5 linked regions of the Oryctolagus cuniculus genome follow. The protein of the gene in region 3 interacts with the protein of the main gene of each other region in a biochemical or structural test. Links are inferred from orthologs where the notes say so. Each region holds a gene or a part of one and is shown on either strand. Other genes may lie near its edges.

Region 1 (4,284 bases), on a different chromosome or scaffold from region 3:
AGCCCTCAGACACAAAGTCCTCCTGCTTCTGGCCCCTGAAGTGCCAGCCTCTGCGAGGTGGGCTGCGGGGCTTCTGATCGCCTTGCTCAGCTCTGCGGATGCTCCTAGTTGGAGAGAAGACAAGATTTCTGCACCTTGGTGTCAGCCCTTTCTGCGTCCATTGTCCTGCTTTACCTCCGGGGCATTTCTTGGCTGTCAAGACCCAGAAACAGGAAGTGGGACTCCCAATCAGAGACTCTCCTTAAACCTCCATTACGTCATAGACCAACAGACAAACAAGGTATTCATGACAGGGTCATTGACATTGCTAAGTCATTCAGTCAACATTTCACCAAGGATGTGACTAGTGCTGAGTGTCAAAGGGGTCCCCAAAACAGCAACCTTAAATAATCCCAAAGCTAGTCACCGTTTTCATGCATAATGAGAAAACAAAATATTATGGCCAAAAATAAGTTAGAATTTCAAAGTAAAAGATGCTGTCTGGGCATTTCTGAGTGCCTACAATGTACCCTTCATATTAAAGAAGTAGAAATTCAATATAAATGGTAGCTCTATGACAACAGAGCAAATGGACATATCTTGAGACTTAGTGGCCAGAGCTTATTATATTTAATTTTTTATGCTGGTTTCAGTATCTTTATTAAAAATATTTATTTATTTATTTGAAAGACAGAAATACAGATAGAAGGGGAGAGAGAGAGGGAGAGGGGAGAGGGGAGAGGAGGGGAGAAGGGAGAGGAGGGGAGAGGGAAGAAGGGAGAGGAGGGGAGAGGGGAGAAGGGAGAGGAGGGGAGAGGTGAGAGGAGGGAAGAGGGGAGAAGGGAGAGGAGGGGAGAGGTGAGAGGAGGGGAGAGGGGAGAAGAGGGGAGAGGGGAGAGGAGGGGAGAGGGGAGAAGGGAGAGGAGGGGACAGGTGAGAGGAGGGGAGAGGTGAGAGGAGGGGAGAAGGGAGAGGAGGGGAGAGGGGAGAGGAGGGGAGAAGGGAGAGTAGGGGGAGGGGAAGGGGAGAGGGGAGAGGAGGGGAGAGGAGAGGGGAGAGGAGGGGAGAAGGGAGAGGGGAGAGGGGAGGGGAGAAGGGAGAGGAGGGGGAGGGGAGAGGAGAGGAGGGGGAGGGAAGAGGAGGGGGAGGGAAGAGGAGGGGGAGGGGAGAGGGGAGAGGGGAGAGGGAGAGGTCTTCCATGCACTGGTTTACTCCCCAATGACTGCAACAGCTGGGGTTGGCCTAAGATAAAACTAGGAGCCAGGAGTAGCTTCCGGGTCTCCCATGTGGGTGCAGGAGCCCCAGGACTTGGGCCATCCTCCACTGCTATCCCAGGCACATTAGCAGGGGGCTGAATTGGAAGTGGAGCAGCCAGGTCTCAAACAGGCACCCATACTGGATGCTGGCACTGAAGGCGGAGGCTTAACCTTCTATGCCACAGTGCTGGCCCATTGAATATCTTTAAATTAATTATGTAGTCTAAAGATCTTAGGCAGTTGATGTTGACCAGCTGTACTGTTTGCTTTATGAGCAGGTGGAACTATTTGAGTTTATTGGTTCTCAAACCACTGCCAGATAATTATGAAACAGGAGTTAACCAGCTTAGCTTCTCAGCCCATGTCTCTGTGAAATGATTATGAAGCCAAAAGCTGTCACTTCCCCGTCAGTGCTTTGCTGAGCCCCAGTGACCCCAGTGGTGCTCCCAGGCCACCAAGGCCACCTCTCCCACTCTCCAAATATTCCAATGAGGTGCCCCACTCTGCCCCATTCTGCCCAGTCTTCAAAGATTTGCACCCCTCCCCCACCCCCAGCTCCACAGGTTCCAACTAATCTCACTGAAACTTGTTCCAACTAACCTCAGGGAAACTTGCACTTAGGTACTGTATTGCTTATTGGGACGAAGGAGAATATAGGATTGGCCTCAACACGTTTCTCTATTCCTCTCTCCTCCTTGCCTTCTGGGTGGTGGGAGCTCTAATTGGGTTGAACTTGGTGTAATTCTGGAGCCACATTCATAAGCAAAACATAAAGATCCCACACAGCATCGACGACCCAAGAATAAGTGGAAGCTGCTGTAGATATTCTTTTTCTAGTTGCTAGAACAAGGGGTTGACCATTTTAAGATGCACAATCTAGTTAGAACCAATGGATGAAGGAGCCAATTCTTACTTCTGGATGCTGACTTCAAGCTCAGGTAGAAGTACTGAGACACAGTGTGAAATTCCCATTTTCACATGAACATTATATGTAATGCTAACATATAATATTGCATATAAAGTCTTTTTAAAGAAGAATGCAAGATTATCCAGTCTATTCAACTTATGATTTTTTTCTAATTTCAAGCCAAAGGTGTTTTAATTCTCATAGAAAAGTATTGAACAAATCATGACGACTAACTTTACTCATACAACCAGGCTTTACAGATAAGCATCTCCCTGTGCTGCTCTTCACTGGGTTCTACGACAACTCTTCAAGGCAGCTGGGACCCGGATTCCACTGCCCATGCGGCACCTGTGCTGCTGGCCACAACCACACTGCTAGTAAGTGGCCCTCTGAGCCATGGGTCTGGACGACAGCCCATCTTTCAACCACAGGGGAATTACTATTAATTTGTAAAGTAGCATTTGCAGTAATTTTGGACTTGCATCACAGACACACAAAGCTATCCAAATGATGCAAACCCACCTTCTGATGTGGGTGGAAATGGGTTCAGATCTCCAACAGAGCTGCTTAGAAACCAGGCCCACAGTGCTCCTGCTCTGAAGGCACCTCTCCCCTGGCTCCTTCAGTTTTCTTACCTGTGGCTGACAGTTTCAGGGTGTAAAATTTGCTTCAGGTCAAGGCTGGATTGGAATCTTTGCATCTTTGCCGAAGAAGCAATAAGTGCAAATAACCTTGAAAAAGAAAAACACAGCTGACATCCCTTATGCAAGCTGAGTACATTCCAAGACCCAACTGAAACACAGATAGTACTGAACCCTATGTAGACTAGGTTTTTTCCTACACAAACACATGGTGCATCTTAATTTATAAATTAGGGACAATAAATGACAATACCTAATAAAACATAGAGAAATAATAACAATATGCTGTAATAAAGCTGCCAGCATCACTACTCTTGGAGTCATTATTAAGTAAATTACAGGTTATTTGAACATAAGTCCTATGATATTGCAGTAATAAATTTGATATTTATCAAGGTGGCTACTAGATGACTAAGGGGCAGGTAGCATATACATGGTGACTACATTGCCTGACAGGATGATTCACACCCCCAGGTAGAGCAAAACAGCAAGGCAGGAGAATTGATCATGCTGCCCAGAGCAGTGTGCAATTTCAACTTTGGAATTCTTTCTTTCTGGGGGTTTCCATTGCATATTTTCATGCCTTGATCAACAGCAGGTAACTGAAACCACAGAAAGTGAAACTGGCTAAGCAGGGACTGCCACATGTTGCACTCCCTTGTCAGTGATGTTGTGGCAGGAGCACAGGCCCTGGGTCAGACGGAGCTGGCTGGCATCCTGGTTCTGCAGCCGGGACTAGAACCGGTGTCCATATGGGATGTTGGCATTTCAGGCCAGGGCATTAACCTGCTGCACCACAGTGCTGGCCCCTGTCAGTTTATTTTTAATCCAATTAACTGTACACTCATTGAGCAAATAATCACTAGGTACTTCTCATATATACCAGGCATTGTGCCGAGTGCTGAGTGCTGGTATATAGTACCAAACACTTAAAAAGGGCTCTCTGTGCTCTTTGGATCCAACTATGGAGTACCTTTATTAATTCACTTTCCTGTCTCCAAAAATTAGTAGTGAACATTGTAAATCCACCACTTTGGTGAAGAAAAGTTCTCTTTTTTTCCTGGCCACTTTGAAATGAGGAAATCCATCTCATATGAGCCCACCTATTCCTCTGGTCCTAGTTCCACCCCTCTGGGCCCACAGAAAGGAAGTTGAATCTCTCTGCACAGGCCATCCCTTCCAAAACCGTGCAGACAGCACCCGCTGCTCCCTGAAGCTTTGCCCCTGAAAACCAAGTCCCCAACCTTTCTGCTGCGCCACACATGGCATGGTCTCCACTCCACCCTTGTCACAGAGAACGCTGGACAAAGAGGCGGGGTGGGCACCTGCTTTGGAAGCCAGGCATGGAGATAATGCTCTGACATTTCCAGCAACCACATGAGAGGGAATGGGCATAGCCAGACACTGAGGATACCTGACGAGTATCAGATGCAGAATTTGGGATGAACGAATCAGCCGGATATTAACCGCATGGAGGTGGAATAAAAATAGGAGCATTTGG
Region 2 (4,117 bases), on a different chromosome or scaffold from region 3:
CGGGGCTCACCCAGGGCACGGTGAGGTGCTGGCTCCAGGCAGGGCCCCCCGAGGGGGTGGGAGATGGGTAGGAGCAGCCCGGCAGGGCCAGGGGAGAGAGCCTGGCTGAGCGAGCCGGGCGGCGGCTGTGGCGTCCTCAGAACCACACGGAGGCCCTGAAGGGCCGGGATCGGGCGTGATGAGAACCTCACTGCTCGAGCCGTGAGGACCATGGACAAGGCGCCCACTGCGGGCAGGCAGGGCGGGGCTGGGCGGCCCAGGAGATGCAGTCAGGCGGGCAGCCTCGCTGACGGAGGGCGTGGAGGGGTGGGTGGACCGGGGCTGAGGGCCACGATGGACACACGAAGGCCCAGGAGACACGGTCAGGTGCAGAGGAGGCGGGGTCAGGGCCGAGGCCTGTGGGCAGCTGGACCCTGCAAGGTGTGCGGATGCTCACACGCATGTCCCCGGCCCTCCCTCACCCGCCGCCCGGCACGGCCTGCGGAGCGCACGCCCCGGTTTCTTAGGCTCTTGGGAGAATTGCAGTGTGAATGTGTGTGTTCCTTCCGGTAGGAAGCAGGGGCTGAGCCCTAACAGCGAGCAGGGGGGCTCTCTAGGTCACGCCGGCTGTCCCCAGGACCCCGCGGGGGGCTCTCTAGGTCACGCCGGCTGTCCCCAGGACCCCGCGGGGGGCTCTCTAGGTCACGCTGGCTGTCCCCAGGACCCCGTGGTCCCTCAGCAAGGCAAGGAGTCTCAGCCTCCGTGCAGCCCGCAGCCCGTCAGCTCACAAATGGGAGAAATTGCCGTTCGTGGCCGACCTGGATCCCACGCGGAGGCGCTTGTGGGCAGTCGCTCCCGCCCCGGACTTCCTGAGTGCTCATCCGAGTGACCTCGGGTGCAGATGGACCCCGGGAGATGTGTCTGTCGCTGGTGTGGCTCAAGATGAAACCAACAGGACACGGCCGTCGCAGGGTCAGGAGCAGGAGAGCCGGGGACCGGGAGAGGCCGGGAGGAGCCAGGCGCCCGCCCCGCAGCCTCCCAAGCCCAGGATGCAATGGAGCTGGGGAAGCCACCCCTGGCACGGCTGCCCTGGGCCCCACAGAGGCTGCAGCCAGAGGAGGAGGCGGAGACTCAGCGGAGCGTTTTGGGGAACTGACCCATGACAACGGCACCTGCTGTACTTCCCCTGCCCGCCCCCCGCCCGCCCCCGCCGCCCTCTCGTTCCTTCTCTCTCACAGTTGGCTGAAAGGTGGGGCCACTTCCGCTGCCTTTGCAACACCAGAGCCTTCTTAAGGGGAGCCGGGCCCGTCCTGCCCCCACCGCCCGTCCCTGGCCGCTCCCGACACCTGCTTGCACCTGACCATGTCCCTGGCGGAGGCCATCAGCCTCTGGAATGAGGGGGTGCTGGCGGCTGACCGGGAGGACTGGAGGGGGGCCCTGGCCGCCCTCTGCGCAGTCCAGGACCCGCACGCCCGGATCTGCTTCAACGTGGGCTGCGTGCACGCCATCCTGGGAGACCTGCCTGAGGCAGAGAAGGTGAGTGAGGGCTCTTCCCACCTCCTCAGTGTCCGCAGCCTCTGCCCTCGGGCTGGTGGCCACGGAACCCAAATCTCCAGGGAGCTTCCGCATTAGCCCAGAGCCCCCGCCCAGCTGGCCTGGGCAGGGCCTGCGCCACAGCTCCCAAAATTCCCCAGCTGCTCGGGAGGGGCGTGGGCAGCCCAGGCCGGGAGCCGTGACCAGGGCCAGGCTGTCCCTCTTCCCCCTCTTCTCAGCCGTGATGGCCCTGACCCACGGGGCACTGGTTCGCTCCGTCTCCGTCTCTGTCCCCGTCCCGGCCACGAGGTGCCCCCAGGGCAGCCCGGCCCTCTGGCTCACCAAGAGCTGGCTGCATCTCCAGTGCGCGCCTAGCTAACCGTGACTGACAGGGCGTCAGCCAAGGGCAGGGCTGGGGATGGGGTCTGAGCACCTTCTAAAGTACTTTTGCCTCTCGCGTACCCCAGTGGGGGCCAGTGGGGTCAGGGCCAGGGAGACGCCCCCGGGTCCGGCAGCAGGAGCGCTCCAGGCAAACGGCGGCGCCGCTCCTCCCTGCACCTTGGGTCTCCAAGGGCATAAACACCGCAGCGATTGCGTGAGACACGGAGCAGGAAGGCGCCGCCCCGTCTCGGAAGTCAGCTGTCACCTTTGCCTGCTGCTGCGGATCCTCGCAAGGCCCTGAGCGCAGCCAGGGCCACACCCACCGCAGGCAGAGCCGAGGGTCAGCGGGCAAGACCCCGGCGGAGGGCGCGGCCGGGGCAGGCCCTGGAGGGTGTGGGTGCCGGGCGTCCCCGCGCGTTCTGTGTCTGGATTGTTCCCTGCCTCGGCTGCCTAAGCCCCATGCTGCCAGCCTTCCGGGTAAATTCTTATTTATTACTTTAATTTTCATAATGAACCATTGTATCCTGATCCAGTGAACTTGAAAGGCAACACGCCCCTCATGCAGAGGAGAAAACTAGGGCTCAGCTAGAGAGTAGGGAACTTGCCCCATGCCACGCCACGAGGAAGTGACAGGCGCGCTGACCCGTGCCCTGCCCAACGCTGCCCGCGGCCTCCGACCTCCTCCACCCTCTCCGCAGGCCTTTACCAAGAGCATCAGCAAGGACAGGCACCTGGCCGTGGCCTACTTCCAGCGGGGGATGCTGCACCACCGCACGGAGAGGTGAGGGCCCCGGGCACTGGGAACTGTGCAACAGCTCAGCGCGGGAGGCAGCGGGAGGGCAGGCCTGAGCTGCGCCGGGGCACAAGGCAGCCGCCACTCGCAGTGGCCTGGCGGCCACAGGGACCTGACGGTCAGCCAGCACGGCACCCACCGTGCGCTGCGGGACGAGGCGTGCCGTGAAACCGCATCGGCCTGGCTTCATCCCTGGTTACGTCCGTCTGGTGAAGTAAAATCCAGCCGCAAACGAGAGAATAGAGCAACACATCAGGTAGATGTGCTGGACCGCGGCCGGCAGTGCTCACGACGCCCGCATCCGGGTTCAGTGCGCAGCTCAGCTCCGGCCTGCCTGCAAGCTGCGGGGCAGAAGTGGCGGCTCAAGGAACTGGCATCGCGTCCCTGCCATCCACATGGGCGCCCTGGGCTGGACTCCCAGCTCTGGCGTCAGCCCTGGCCCAGCCTAACCTGCAGGAAGTACCTTGGCAGATACGAGCTCTCTGTCACTCCGCCTCTCTGCCACACGAGTAAATGATTTTTTAAAAAATATTCTATGTATTTATTTGAAAGCCAGAAATACAGAGAGAGAGAGAGAGGAGAAAGAGAGAGAGAGTCTTCCATCTGCTGGTTCACTCCCCAAATGGCCGTGACAGCCAGGAGCCAGGAGCTTCCTCCAGGTCTCCCACGGGGGAACTTTGGCCATCTTCTGTTTTCCCAGGCCACAGCAGAGAGCTGGATCGGAAGTGGTGCAGCCGGGACTAGAACCGGCACCCATGTGGGAGGAAGGCACTGCAGGCGGCGGCTTTACCTGCTACACCGCAGCACCGGCCCCTACCTGCATTTTTGATGTGTTTACAGTGTTCACATGAAATAATTAGTAAAAAGCTGGCGCCGTGGCTCACTTGGCTAATCCTCTGCCTGCGGCGCCGGCACACCAGGTTCTAGTCCCGGTTGGGGCGCCGGATTCTGTCCCGGTGGCCCCTGTTCCAGTCCAGCTCTCTGCTGTGGCCAGGGAGTGCAGTGGAGGATGGCCCAAGTGCTTGGGCCCTGCACCCTATGGGAGACCAGGAGGAAACACCTGGCTCCTGGCTTCGGATCGGCGCAGCTTTAGCCGTAGCAGCCATTTAGGGAGCAGAACCAACGGAAGGAAGACCTTTCTCTCTGTCTCTCACTGTCTAACTCTGCCTGTCAAAAAAAGAAGAAGGAGGAGAAGGAGAAGAAAAGAAAGAAAGAAAGAAAGAAAGAAAGAAAGAAAGAAAGAAAGAAAGAAAGAAAGAAAGAAAGAAAGAAAGAAAGAAAGCAAGAAAGAAAGAAAGAAAGAAAGAGAGAGAGAAAGAAAAGAAAGAGATAATTAGTAAAAAGAGAAGCATTCACAGACTTAAAGTTAATCCCAACCTCATCAACAACCGGATGACGATATTCTAAGCCTTAATTGCTGATCTTTGGTGC
Region 3 (3,500 bases):
AGCAGATGAAGATCTGTCTGTCTGTCTCTCTAATTCGGCCTTTCAAATAAATAAATTTTTAAAAACAAAAACACATATACACACATACCAATCAACCCTATCTTATTTTAATTAGGCATGAATGCTTATTGTTCAAACTTCAAAGCACCAGAACTAGTGAGAAGTAAGCACTCTATGCTAATTCTTCCCTTTGCCCCAGAAGGGTGCTCAAAGGAGGGAAGCAGCACTACCATAAAGGTGAAGATGATGACACCAGGCTAAGTCCGTATAATTCTCACTCCAATTAGTCTAGCACTGCTCCCTACCCTCAGAATCGGAGTTTCCCATCAATTGCATCATTTGGAAATGAACAGGAGGACAGAGAATCCACATGAGGAAGGAAGACCTCCAAAAACACAGGAACAGACATTCTATAAAGCAGGCCTGAAGACTGTGGCAGAAACAGCCAAGGCAGCCTTCTTTGACATGAAACTCAGTTATTGTCATTCATTCCTTGTTCCAATTAACTACCCCAGAAACAGCATAGCATCAAGTGTCAGACTGGCAAGAAAAAAAATCAGACATATTTAAATAAAATTTTAGGTCTTTAGGGAAAAAAAATCATTCATATCCCCTCTTGCTGGATTGTGCTTATCTGAACCTCTCTTATAAATCTTGTGTTTTGCTTTGAACACAACCCTGGGAACGCTTCACACAAGAGTTTTAGAGATCAATAATGTTTTCCATAAATACAGACAGTTCTGGCAGAAGAACATACAACACAAAGTTGGTCATATTCTTTCTGGGTAGTTTTGATCACTGCTGACCACATTAAAAATAACCCATTAGAAAGCATCCCTGTATCTTAATGCTCTAAGAAATAACTCAACCATAAACACACATGGAGTTTCACACAGTCCTTACCTGTGTGAGCGCAGAACACTCCACATACTTGACAGCCTTCAGATCACGGGCCAGCTTTTCAGCCGTCTCTGGAGTGATAGGCTTCTGTTTGTTCTTGGCAAGTTTCTCAATAGTAGAGGGGTCATCTCTGAGATCAATTTGGGTCCCGACAAGCAAGAAAGGAGTCTTTGGACAATGGTGAGTTATCTCAGGCACCCACTAAAGAAAATGTATTTTGAAAAATACACCTTCATTAATCCACAAGTCTCTAAAGCTATCTGCAACAGGTCAATAGCAATTCTGTGATAGCCTTTCTCAGTGAATGGTATCTGATCAACTTACCTTTTCTTTCACATTTTCAAATGAGGATGGAGAAACCACTGAAAAACACACTAAAAATACATCTGTTTGTGGATAACTCAGCGGCCGTAATCTATCATAATCCTCTTGCCCTAGAAAAAAAGTTGGAGAAGTCAGCAACTAACTCTTGGTGTTCTCACAGTATTAAAACCACAAATCAGTCAACTGATCAAGTATGCAACTTAATAGCATTCAGATAATTAGCCAGAAAGCAACTTATCTGATGAAACATTTGGCTGTGTAATATAATATTTGGGCAATATTCTCACTTGGCTAATTCCTTTTATTATCAAGAACTCAGACAGCAACCAACTTCCTATTAAATTATTTGCTTTCATTACCAGTTTGCAGTTTTCAATTTTTGTGCCCGTTAGTGACCTAACAATAGTTCACAACAATAAACTGCTACAGAAACAGTTAAAAATCCATCCTAGTCAGATCCAGCTAAGAAACAATCACAGTGTAGCCATCTAAAGGGAACTGCTATCAAAGTTATTGTACATCATGACCACCAAAGCAGGCTACATGTTTAGTTTCTGCGTGCATTTCAGACCAATATCCGAAGCAGAGCCCAGGAGGAAAAAAAAAATCTATGGCAAAAATCAATGGATACTCAAAAGAAATAAAATACATAGGAATTAACCAAGGGGGTATAACATCTGAAATACAAAGAAAATTATAAAACATTGCTAAAAGAAACTAATGACATAAAAAAAGGGGAAATGTTCATGGACTAGAAGGCTTAACATTGTTAACCACTTAAAGCACCTTACAGATTTAATCCAAACCCTATCAAAATCCCTTTTTTTTTTTTTTTGCAGAAACAAAAAACTCATTCTAGAATTCACATGGAATCTCAAGGACTCCGAAGTAGTAAAAACAATCTTTTTTAAATACAGATGTTTTAATTTATTTGAAAAACAGAGTACAGAGAGGGACACAGAGAGATCTTCTATCCTCTGGTTCACTCCCCTGATGCCCACAACAGCCAGGGCTGGCCAGGCTAAATCCAGCAACTCCATCCAGGTTTCCTACATGGCTCAAGCACTTCAGCCATCATCTGATGCTTTCCAGGTAGTTTAGCAGGGAGATGGATTGGAAGTGGAACAGCCAAGACTCAAACCAGCACTCAGATATATGTATATATGCATATATATGTATATGTATATATGTATACCAAGAAGTAGCTTAACCCACTATGCCACAACATTGTGCCAGTTAAAACAATCTTTAAAAAAAAAAACAGAGGGACCCACACTTCCTGATTTCAAAACCTACTATATAAGGCTACAGCAGTCAAAACAGTGTGGTGCTGGCATAAGGTAGACATACAAGGGTCTACTTCAAAAAGTTTGTGAAAAAAATGAAACTAAAGTTTATTATGCTCTAAAAATTTTAACTCACATATTTCTTCATAACACATAATTTTCCACACAATATTTGAAGCCCATGAAACTTTTTGGACTTGATGGTCATACAGACCAAAGTAGAGCATGGAACCTATGAACAAATCCTCACATATACCACCACATTACATGTGACAAAGGAGCAAAGACCATTCAGTGATGAAAGGACAATCTTTTCAAAAAATAGTGCTGGGAAAGCTGAATAGCCAAATGCAAAAAAAAAAAAAAAAAAAGTTGAACCCTTACCTAACACTATACATAAAAATTAACTCAAAAATGGATCAAGGGGCCAGCGCTGTGGCTCAGCAGGTTAAGCCATCACCTGCAGTGCTGGCATCCCAAATGGGCACCAGTTCAAGTCTCAGTTGCTCCACTTCTGATCCAGCTCTCTGCTATGGCCTGGGAAAGCAGTGGAAGATGGCCCAAATCCTTGGGCCCCTGCATCCACGTGGGAGACCTGGAAGAAGCTCCTGGCTTCGGATGGGCGCAGCTCCGGCCGTTGCAGCCATCTGGGGAGTGAACCAGCGAATGGAAGACCGATCTCTCTCTCTCTCTCTCTCCAATACTGCCTCTCAAATAAGTAAATAAATCTTTTTTTAAAAAAGGATCAAATACCTAAATGTAAGAACTAAAACTAAAAAAACTATCAGAAAACATAAGGGAAAAGTTCATGTTACTGGATTTAGCAATGATTTGTTTCCAGTGTAACACAGGTAACCAAAGATAAAACAGACAACTTAAGACTTCACAAAAATTTAAAAATGTATGTTCCAGAGTATCAATGTAGTAAAAAGGTAGTCTACAGAATGTTTTTACAGACTTGCTTATCATCTCTCTGATAAGGGATTAATA
Region 4 (4,239 bases), on a different chromosome or scaffold from region 3:
AGATAGTGAGAGAGAGAGAGAGACAGAGAGAAAGGTCTACGGCCAGTGCGCTGCACTGATCTGAAGCCAGGAGCCAGGTGTTTCTTCCCAGTCTCCCACGTGGGTGCAGGGGTCCAAACATCTGGGTCATCTTCTGCTTTCCCAGGCCATAGCAGAGAGCTGGATTGGAAGAGGAGCATCCAGGACTAGAACCGGCGCCCATATGGGATGCCAGCGCCACAGGCAGAGGATTAACCTACTGTGTCACTGCGTGGCCCTATCATATAAGTTTTTAAGAATAAAATGAAAGGCTGGGGCTGTGGCACAGCAGGTAAAACTGCCGCCTGCAGTGCTGGCACACATATCGCTGCCAGTTCGAGACCTGGCTCCACTTCTGATCCAGCTCTCTGCTATGGCCTGGGAAAGCAGCAGAAGATGGCCCAAGTCCTTGAGTCCCTGCACCCTCATGGGAGACCCGGAAGAAGCTCCCGGCTCCTGGTTTTGGATCGGACCAGCTCTGGCCAGTGCGGCCATCTGGAGAGTGAACCAGTGGATGGAAGACCTGTCTCTCTCTCTCTGCCTTTGCCTAACTGTAACTCTGCCTTTCAAATAAGTAAATAAATCTTTAAAAAAAAATAAATGAGATCTCTATGAGAAATGTTAACTCAAAATATCAGTATGCAGGGGCCGCTGTTGTGGCATAGTGTGTTAAGCTACCACTGGCATCCCCTGAGTTCTAGCTTTTGATCCAGCTCCCTGCTAATGGGCCCAGGAAAGCACCAGAAGATGGCTCAAGTGTTTAGGCCTCTGCCACCCACATGGGAGACCTACATGGAGTTCCAGGCTCCTGGCCCAGCCCCAGCTGTTGCGGCCATCTGGGGAGTGAACAAGTGGATGCAAGATCTCTCTCCCCTCTCTGACTCTGCCATTCAAATAAATAAAGAAATCTTAACAAAAAGTGATCAGTATGCAGAACATACTAGAGACCGTTAAAAAGAGCTTAACAACTGTGTGATATTACTATCACCATATCATAGTATTTTTGCTTTATATGAAGTACTCTTAACAAGACACCTTTTGATCCAATGTCAGTCAAGGTTAATATACTGGATCTGGGTCTGTGTCTTTTTTTTTTTTTTTCTAGATAGCTCTTATCCTTATCGCTCAAGCATTAATCCAGTTAGAATGAACAGTGCCCTGTCCAAAACAGTGCTTTTCACCACTTACTGACACTTGTACAACCATCATCTCATCTGCTCCAGCCGACAACTTTTGTGAGGCGCCGACACTGGTATTATTATCCCTGTTCTGTCTTATGTGAGCAAATGACACCACATCCTGGATCCCGGAGCTCCTCCACTGGCAGCTTTATACACGGTAAGTCTCATGGCCGGATCTGGTACACTTAGTTTCAAAGGTTCCGTAATGCCTGCAAGTCACAAGAACCTTCCTTGCTTGATGACAACCTAGTTCAAGTTCATGTTTGCAGAAGATATGTCATACTTTCTAAGCCCAACTTCAGGCTGCAGGAGGAAAGATGATCAAGACCAGGAACGCAGTTTACAAAATAAGAGCTAAGGAGAAAACGTGCAAGATGACTCAGAAACTACTAGTCAGAACGTTAACTTCACTAGGTAACTTCCATTAAAATTCTGGCGAAATGTAGCCATTTACAAATTACAAAATTTCTTCTACAACTGCAGAAGCTCTCATAAAACATCAGAAAAAGGAGACATTTTACTGAAAGTAAAAAATCAAGCAGTACTTAAGTTAGACTCCCCCGTTTAAAAAAAAAAAAAAAAGGCAAGGATGGAAAAAGCACCACTATAATGCACTCACTTCACTCAACCAACTGGGAGGCACTGGGACTACCTTAATGAACACAGAAAAGCTGTCTGCGCAGAGCCCCCCCAGACAGACGAGGTCAGTTTCAAAGCAACGTATTAAAGATCGAAACACATTTCTGATTTAACACGGGTTGATCAAGTAGCTTAGCTCTCCAGGGGCAGCGGACGCACCCAGGACATCAAACCCTTTCTCGCCAGGTACTTAACAGGCCGTGTCTGTAAACACGGAGGGACGCAGCTTTTCACGCACACACCCGGTATTTGGCCGAGCTCGCCCGGGGCCGTCTATAAAGCCCTGTTTGCTGTTTCCGTGCCTAACCCCCGAAGGTACGCGGCACGCCACACAAGTCCAAGTTTCCTTTGTTCTGCAACAGGACAGACTCAGACCACCAGTACGGAACCAACGCGGCCCGTCACCGCGCCCAGACCCCGGGTGGAGGGAGGAGCAGACACGGGGGAAGGTTCCATCCCCGGCACAAGCAACAAAAACGGAAAAGCGACGGAGCTGGGGGTGCAAGGCTGGCAAACGCACACAAGGAGCCGAGCCAAGGGCGGGGACCTGAGCCGGGCGGGGAGCCGGAAGGCGCCTCCCAAGCAGGTTCGAGCGCACCCCGAACAACGGAAAACGCCCTGGGCCTCCGCTCCGCAGCAGCCGGCCTTGGGCAAGCGCCCCTTCAGACGTGCGCCCCCAGCCCAGTTCCCGGCGCCCGGACTCGCCGTGCTGAGCCCTCCCAGGCCGCACTCACCCCGGAGGAAGCCTTGGCCTCCTCGTCCTCTTCTACCCTCCAGGCCGGCGACGTGGTGCTGACTGCCAGGTCGCAGAAGACGGCGCCGAGAGGAGCCCGCTCCTCTCGGTCAGCGGTGCACAACCCAGCCTAGTCCCCGGCCGCAGCCCCAGCGGCAGCTGCAGCGGCAGCAGTTGACCCGGACGCAAAAAGCAGCCCGGGCGGAAGTGACAGCATCCTGACCCTTTCTAGGCTCTGCGGGAGGCGGGGGCGGGGCCGGGGCGTGGGGGGGCGCGGCCGGGGCGTGGGGGCGTGGCTTCCTAGTCAAACCCACAGCTTTGCTCCCTCCTCCGCTGTCCCGGGCTAATACCTGCGCGTGCGCACTTGCGGCAACTGGAGCAGCCCTTGGCTTTTGGGTCTCTACTCTCTTTTTTCCGCTTTTCCCTGCGGTGAGGACGCCTGCGAACTCAGGGTCATTGCTATTTTTCTTCTGCTTGTTTTTACTATCGCTACAGTGCCTGTGTTGTATAAAGTAAATGACCCGAGGGGAGGAAATATATGCGAAGCTTACTTTCAGGCATGTAGATCTCAAGGCAGTCTCATTTAGGGGCTGCTGTTGTGGTTCTGATCGCAGGTTCGAGTCCCAGCTGCTCCACTTCTGATCCAGCTCCCTGCTAATGCACCTGGGAAAGCAGTAGAAGATGGCCCAAGTGCTTGAGCCCCTGCACCCACTTGGGGGCCTGGATGAAGCTCCTGGCTCCAGCGGACTATTGCCAGCGGATGGAAGATGTTCTCTCTCTCCTTGTCTCTGTTAACTTTGACTTTCCAAATAAATAAACAAATAAGCGTTCGGCAAAACTTTCTCTGTAAAGATTTACTTCTTTAATTGAATGGTAGAGTTAGAAAGAGAGGGAGAAACATCGATCTTCCATCCCTGGTTCACTCTCCAAATGGCCCAAGTGCTGAGGCTGGGGCTGGGACTGGGGCTGGGCCAGACCCAAGGCCAGAGGCCAGGAACTCCATCCGGGTCTTCCACTTAGGTGCCCCAGGCCCAGGCACTACCACCATCCCCCATTGCTTGCCCAGGCACCTTAGCAGGAAGCTGGATGGGAAGTGGAGCAGCTGGGACCTGAACAGGCTTAACCTGTTTGGCCACCAAGTTGATCCCAAATCCTCTTTATTTTGAACAGCTTTAGAGCAGTGTTTCTCAAACTATCTCTGGAGTGCCATCAGTTTATTATCATTTTAAAAATTTCTGGCCGGTGCCGTGGCTCACTTGGCTAATCCTCCACCTGCGGCACCAGCACACCAGGTTCTAGTCCCAGTGGTGCACACCAAGTTCTAGTCCCAGTGGGGTGCTGGATTCTGTCCCGGTCGCTCCTCTTCCTGTCCAGCTCTCTGCTGTGGCCCGGGAAGGCAGTGGAGGATGGCCCAAGTGCTTGGACCCTGCACCTGCATGGGAGACCAGGAGAAGCACCTGGCTCCTGCCATTGGATCAGCGCGGTGCACCAGCCGCAGCAGCCATTGTGGGGTGAACCAATGGAAAAAAGGAAGACCTTTCCCTCTCTCTCTCTCTGTCACTCTGCCTGTCAAAAAAATTTTTTTTCCAATTGTGAATCATATTTTAATAAAATATAAATGAAATGAAAAAAGGTCTATGAACTCCAAATGAAAATATTTTTATTACA
Region 5 (4,075 bases), on a different chromosome or scaffold from region 3:
GTGTGCATGTTGGTGTGTGCATGTGGCTTGGTGGGCTGTGCTGGTGCGTGTTGGTGTGTGTGCGTGTCTTGGGGGCTGTGCTGGTGTGTGTGTGTATTGGCGTATGTACGTGACTTGGGGCTGTGTTGGCGTATATGTGCGTGTTGGTGTGTGTATGTGCCTTGGGGGCTGTGTTGGCATGTGTACGTGACTTGGGGGCTGTGTTAGCGTGTGTGTGCATACTGGTGTGTGTATGTGGCTTGGTGGGCTGTGCTGGTGCGTGTTGGCGTGTGTGCGTGCCTTGGGGGCTGTGTTGGCGTGTGTGCATGCCAGGCGTGCTCTGGAGCGTGGCACCTGCTTCCTCCTCGGGCAAGCTCCTCACCAGCGGGGACCTCTCTCCCGTCTCCTCCAGGCCCAGCCGCAGGAGGCTCAGCTCCACCTCCAGGGAGCCGTTGGTGTAGAAGCCGAAGCTGTTCAGCTGGATGTCCGCTCGCTTCTCCCCCTGCCGGAGACCAGGGAGGCAGCTCAGACTTCCGCTTCCCGCCTGCCACGGGGCTCTGGGCCCCAGTGCTTAGACAGCCCGGGAGCGAGTCAGGAGAGGCCGTGCCGGGGGACCGAGGACAGCGTGGCCCTGGATGCCCTGAGCGCGGACCTGAGCGTCCAGGAGGACAATCGGGGGGCGCCTGGACGCCCCCCGCTGCGGAACGAGCCCGGGACCCCAGGCAGCGTCCAGGGACCCCCACCCCCTCGGTCCTCGAGCGGCGCCAGGGCTCCCCAGCGTCTCCAAAGCGGCCACAGGAATTTAAAGGGCTAAGAGCCGGGGGAGGGGGGGGTCCCAGGAGATGGCGCCCCCCGCCCCCCACCATCCCGGCGGGGCCGGCCAGGCAGCTCCATCCGCAGGGAGAGAGGGGGATCTCGGGACGGGACCACTCGCCCGGCAGTGGGGGGCGCCGGGCCGCTCCATCCCGCAGAAGGTGCGGGGGAGGTCGGACGAGACCACTTAAGCCGGGGGCTTCTCTGGGACAGCCTCGCGCCCCCCGCCCCCGACCGTCCCGCGGCGGGCCTCACCGTCAGCGCCAGCCGGTGGATGCGCCCGGAGCAGCTGCCCCACAGCAGCAGCAGCAGGAGCCCCTGCCCCCACTCCGCGGGGCTCCCGCGGCCGAGCCCCCTCCTCTCGCTCCCTGCCATCTCTGGAGCTGCCGCCTCCCCTGACACCGCCTCTGACGCCCCCAGGCCCGCCTCCGGGGGAGCCAATCGCCGCACGGTGGGGCCAGGCTCTCCGGACTTTCCAGCCCGTTGAACCAATCATCGATGGCCTCTTCTCAAACCCGCGCCTACGTGACACCAGACGGACAGCACCAGTTCCGAATGGAAGACGTGATACCACGTAGCCCCGCCCCCACGCTCACCAATCACCAGAAAGATCGTCCCGGATATAGCATGATAAGCAGTCCGCCTAACCAATTAGAGCGCAGCTGGCATCCTGCTCTTGAAGCGGAATTCCTCCACCTAACTCTTAACGGTCTAAGACTACACTACCCAGAATGCAGCCAGGAACAGACGAGGGCCACCGAGCACCCAGAAACTACATTTCCCAGCACGCCCCAAGGTCGGACTTCCGCTTCTCACCCTGTGGGACGTGGCTCCCGGCCAGAGCTCTGGCTCTTGGTAAACACACGCAGTCTGTTGAGGCCTGTCCCGTTCTCCTAATCTTCCTGGTCCACGGAGGTTACATCGCGACCCGAGGATGACCTGTGACCTATGACCTCCGCCTCCGCCTCCGCACGAGGACACTGGAGGCTCACTCCGGATCCCCGACGGTTTCCCCTAGCTGCAGCCGGACCCCGAGTTCAGCCTAAAACCTTGGCTCTTCCCCCGCCCCGCCCCGCCCCGCCCAGCCTTTGGGGCTGAGACCCCCGCCCCAACCGTGGTGCTGACCTGGGCTGGGTGTCCCACCAGAGCCGAGCCCCGGTCTCACACGGAGCCGCGAAACCAACCCACCGGGTGCAGCCGCCGGCAGGTGTCCCTGCGCCCTCCGGTCCCTCTGGGGCCCAGACCCCACCCCTGCAGCTCCAGAGAAGGCAGGAGCTGGGGGCCGGGGGCCCGCAGGGCCGCTCCCTTTTATCCTGGCGCCTCGAGGGGACTTACGAGATGCGGACCCTTCTAGGGGGGGGAGGGCGCGGGCGTCCGGGACTCTCGGGGGCCTCGGTGGGCGAAGCTGGACAGTGGGCAGGTGCAGGCAGACTCGGGCCGGAGGGAAAAGCCTGGGCCCCGCGTCCCAAGGACAGCCCGTCCTCGGGTTCCCCTGGGGAGGGAAGGCAGGATGCGGTGGGGGCGCTAATGGACCTGGCAGGATCGAAGTCCTCCATCCGCCCTGCGGCCGGAGGGACCTGACCATTAGTGGGACGAACGTCCACGCCTGGAGCCGGGCCGGGGTGACCTCGGGTTCTGCCTGCAGCACCGTGCAGGGACGACTTCTCGGGCTTGGGGCTTTTCCTGTCCGGGTCCTTTAAGGAACGATCGAAAGGAAAGGCCCGTCTGGGGCGGGGGAGGGGCGTGGTGGGTGGAGAGGGGCCCTCGGGGATTTGAAAATGGGCGGGGGTCCTTTTAAGAGGGGGCGTGGCGCCCTTTGGGCCCCGCCTCCCCGGGCCCCGCCCGCGGTCTCCGCGCAGGGCAGGGGGCGGGGAAAAGCGAGCGGGGGCGTGTCCCAGCCGGGTGGGCGTGTCCGGGGCGGGCGGGGCGGGGTCGGCGCGCCGCCCCGGGCCGAGTCTCGGGGCGGAGGGTGGCGGGCGGCGGCGCCGGCGGCGGCGGGAGCAGCATGGATTGGGGCACCGAGTTGTGGGTGAGTCCGATCGGCGCCTCTCCAAGTTCCGTCTGCTCGGGTTCGGACTCCCCCTCCCCTTTTGTCCCCAGCGGACCCCAGCGGGGGCTGCGGGGGGGCCTCCGCGCTTCCCCTCGCACCGAGCCGAGGGTCTCTGGGCGCCACCGACGCAACGAGTTTCTGGGGGGCGTCACGGAACCCCCGCGGCGGGGGGCGAAAACCCACCTCGCAGGGCGGCCCGGGGAAACTGAGGCACGGGGCCGCGAGCGCGACGGGCCGGAGTCCCCAGGCCAGGCCGGGGCGGCCGGGCGAGGTCACCTATTTTGGGCGTCCCGGCGCGGCCCGCGGCTTATCTTACGGCCCCTGGGTCCCTGCCCGCCGCCCGCCTGTCCGGCTGGCCGTCCCGTGTCCCACGTGGGCCCCGCCAGGGCCGCCCACCTCCCAGGAGCGCCCGGGAGGCTGAGGGCGCCCTCGGAGGGGGAGGGGGCTGCGAGCCCGGGCCCCAGCGATCTTCCAACCCTGCCCTCCCCGGGCCCGGGAAGCCCCAGGGTCGCTCCAGGTCCGGGCCGGACCTAAGACCCCTCCCCTCTCCGGGAGCGGCGAGTGCCTGCGTCTCCGCCCGCACCCTGGTCCCGCACCGTCGGCTCTTCTCCGGGAGCCCGTGGGGAGATGGAGGCGCGCGTGGGGTGCGGCGGGGGGCGCTCGGGGCCTGCCCCCGGGCCCTGCGGGCCCCCAGCTAGCGGCCAGGGATCCCTGCCCTGACTCACGCCGGGCAGGCCGGATTTTCCGGAATCTGGGGGGGATTAGGGGAGCCGGGCGCGCGCGGGGCGGGGGGGTGGACGGTTGTGCAGGGGAGTGGCCTCGCCCCGCTCCACGCCCCTCTCGGCCGCTCGGAGACGGAGACCCCGTCGTCCGGCTGGGGCCCTTTCCCGGGAAGGGGAGGGGGTTCCCGCCAGTTTCCTGCCGGCCCCCGCGCCACTCCGGGGCGGTGCCTGGAAGCCCCTCCTCCGCCGAGCGCGGGGGCCCTGGAGCCGGGCGCGCCGCGAAGTCCCTAGGTCGCGACCCGGGCCCTGCCGTCCCCTCCCCCCCGCCAGGATCAGTTCGAGGTCCTGGAACGCCACACGCAGTGGGGGCTGGACTTGCTGGACCGATACGTAAAGTTCGTCAAGGAGCGCGCCGAGGTGGAGCAGGCGTACGCCAAGCAGCTGCGGTGAGACCCGGAGGGCTGGAGACCCCGTGGCCCGGCCGGGCCGGGTAGGGGGCGGCCGCGGCTCA

What was found.
Region 1: the proteins of CDC42 (region 3) and CDC42EP3 form a complex in vitro, tested with the Homo sapiens proteins (2 studies listed by BioGRID). The link is inferred for Oryctolagus cuniculus from reciprocal best matches to the Homo sapiens genes CDC42 and CDC42EP3.
Region 2: the proteins of CDC42 (region 3) and NCF2 form a complex in vitro, tested with the Homo sapiens proteins (2 studies listed by BioGRID and IntAct). The link is inferred for Oryctolagus cuniculus from reciprocal best matches to the Homo sapiens genes CDC42 and NCF2.
Region 4: the proteins of CDC42 (region 3) and BNIP2 form a complex in vitro, tested with the Homo sapiens proteins (2 studies listed by BioGRID, with this or other methods). The link is inferred for Oryctolagus cuniculus from reciprocal best matches to the Homo sapiens genes CDC42 and BNIP2.
Region 5: the proteins of CDC42 (region 3) and TRIP10 form a complex in vitro, tested with the Homo sapiens proteins (3 studies listed by BioGRID and IntAct). The link is inferred for Oryctolagus cuniculus from reciprocal best matches to the Homo sapiens genes CDC42 and TRIP10.

What each region holds. Positions count from the first base shown.
Region 1 is NC_091433.1:165,017,009-165,021,292, reverse strand, and holds the start of CDC42EP3 (cdc42 effector protein 3), read right to left. Parts: upstream 2,801-4,284; 5' UTR 2,778-2,800; intron 1-2,777.
Region 2 is NC_091444.1:1,499,472-1,503,588, reverse strand, and holds the start of NCF2 (neutrophil cytosol factor 2), read left to right. Parts: upstream 1-1,317; 5' UTR 1,318-1,341; coding exon 1,342-1,515; intron 1,516-2,591; coding exon 2,592-2,674; intron 2,675-4,117. UniProt on the Homo sapiens protein: Subunit of the phagocyte NADPH oxidase complex that mediates the transfer of electrons from cytosolic NADPH to O2 to produce the superoxide anion (O2(-)).
Region 3 is NC_091438.1:148,692,289-148,695,788, forward strand, and holds part of CDC42 (cell division control protein 42 homolog), read right to left. Parts: intron 1,335-3,500; coding exon 1,225-1,334; intron 1,102-1,224; coding exon 904-1,101; intron 1-903. UniProt on the Homo sapiens protein: Plasma membrane-associated small GTPase which cycles between an active GTP-bound and an inactive GDP-bound state. In active state binds to a variety of effector proteins to regulate cellular responses. Involved in epithelial cell polarization processes.
Region 4 is NC_091443.1:82,563,320-82,567,558, forward strand, and holds the start of BNIP2 (BCL2/adenovirus E1B 19 kDa protein-interacting protein 2), read right to left. Parts: upstream 2,801-4,239; 5' UTR 2,573-2,800; intron 1-2,572.
Region 5 is NC_091447.1:60,901,275-60,905,349, forward strand, and holds the start of TRIP10 (cdc42-interacting protein 4), read left to right. Parts: upstream 1-1,275; 5' UTR 1,276-1,290; coding exon 1,291-1,647; exon of another isoform or gene 1,648-1,810; intron 1,811-1,917; exon of another isoform or gene 1,918-2,480; intron 2,481-2,696; exon of another isoform or gene 2,697-2,797; coding exon of another isoform or gene 2,798-2,821; intron 2,822-3,894; coding exon 3,895-4,010; intron 4,011-4,075. Other genes in the region: protein GPR108, read right to left, coding at 362-481, 1,048-1,167. UniProt on the Homo sapiens protein: Required for translocation of GLUT4 to the plasma membrane in response to insulin signaling. Required to coordinate membrane tubulation with reorganization of the actin cytoskeleton during endocytosis.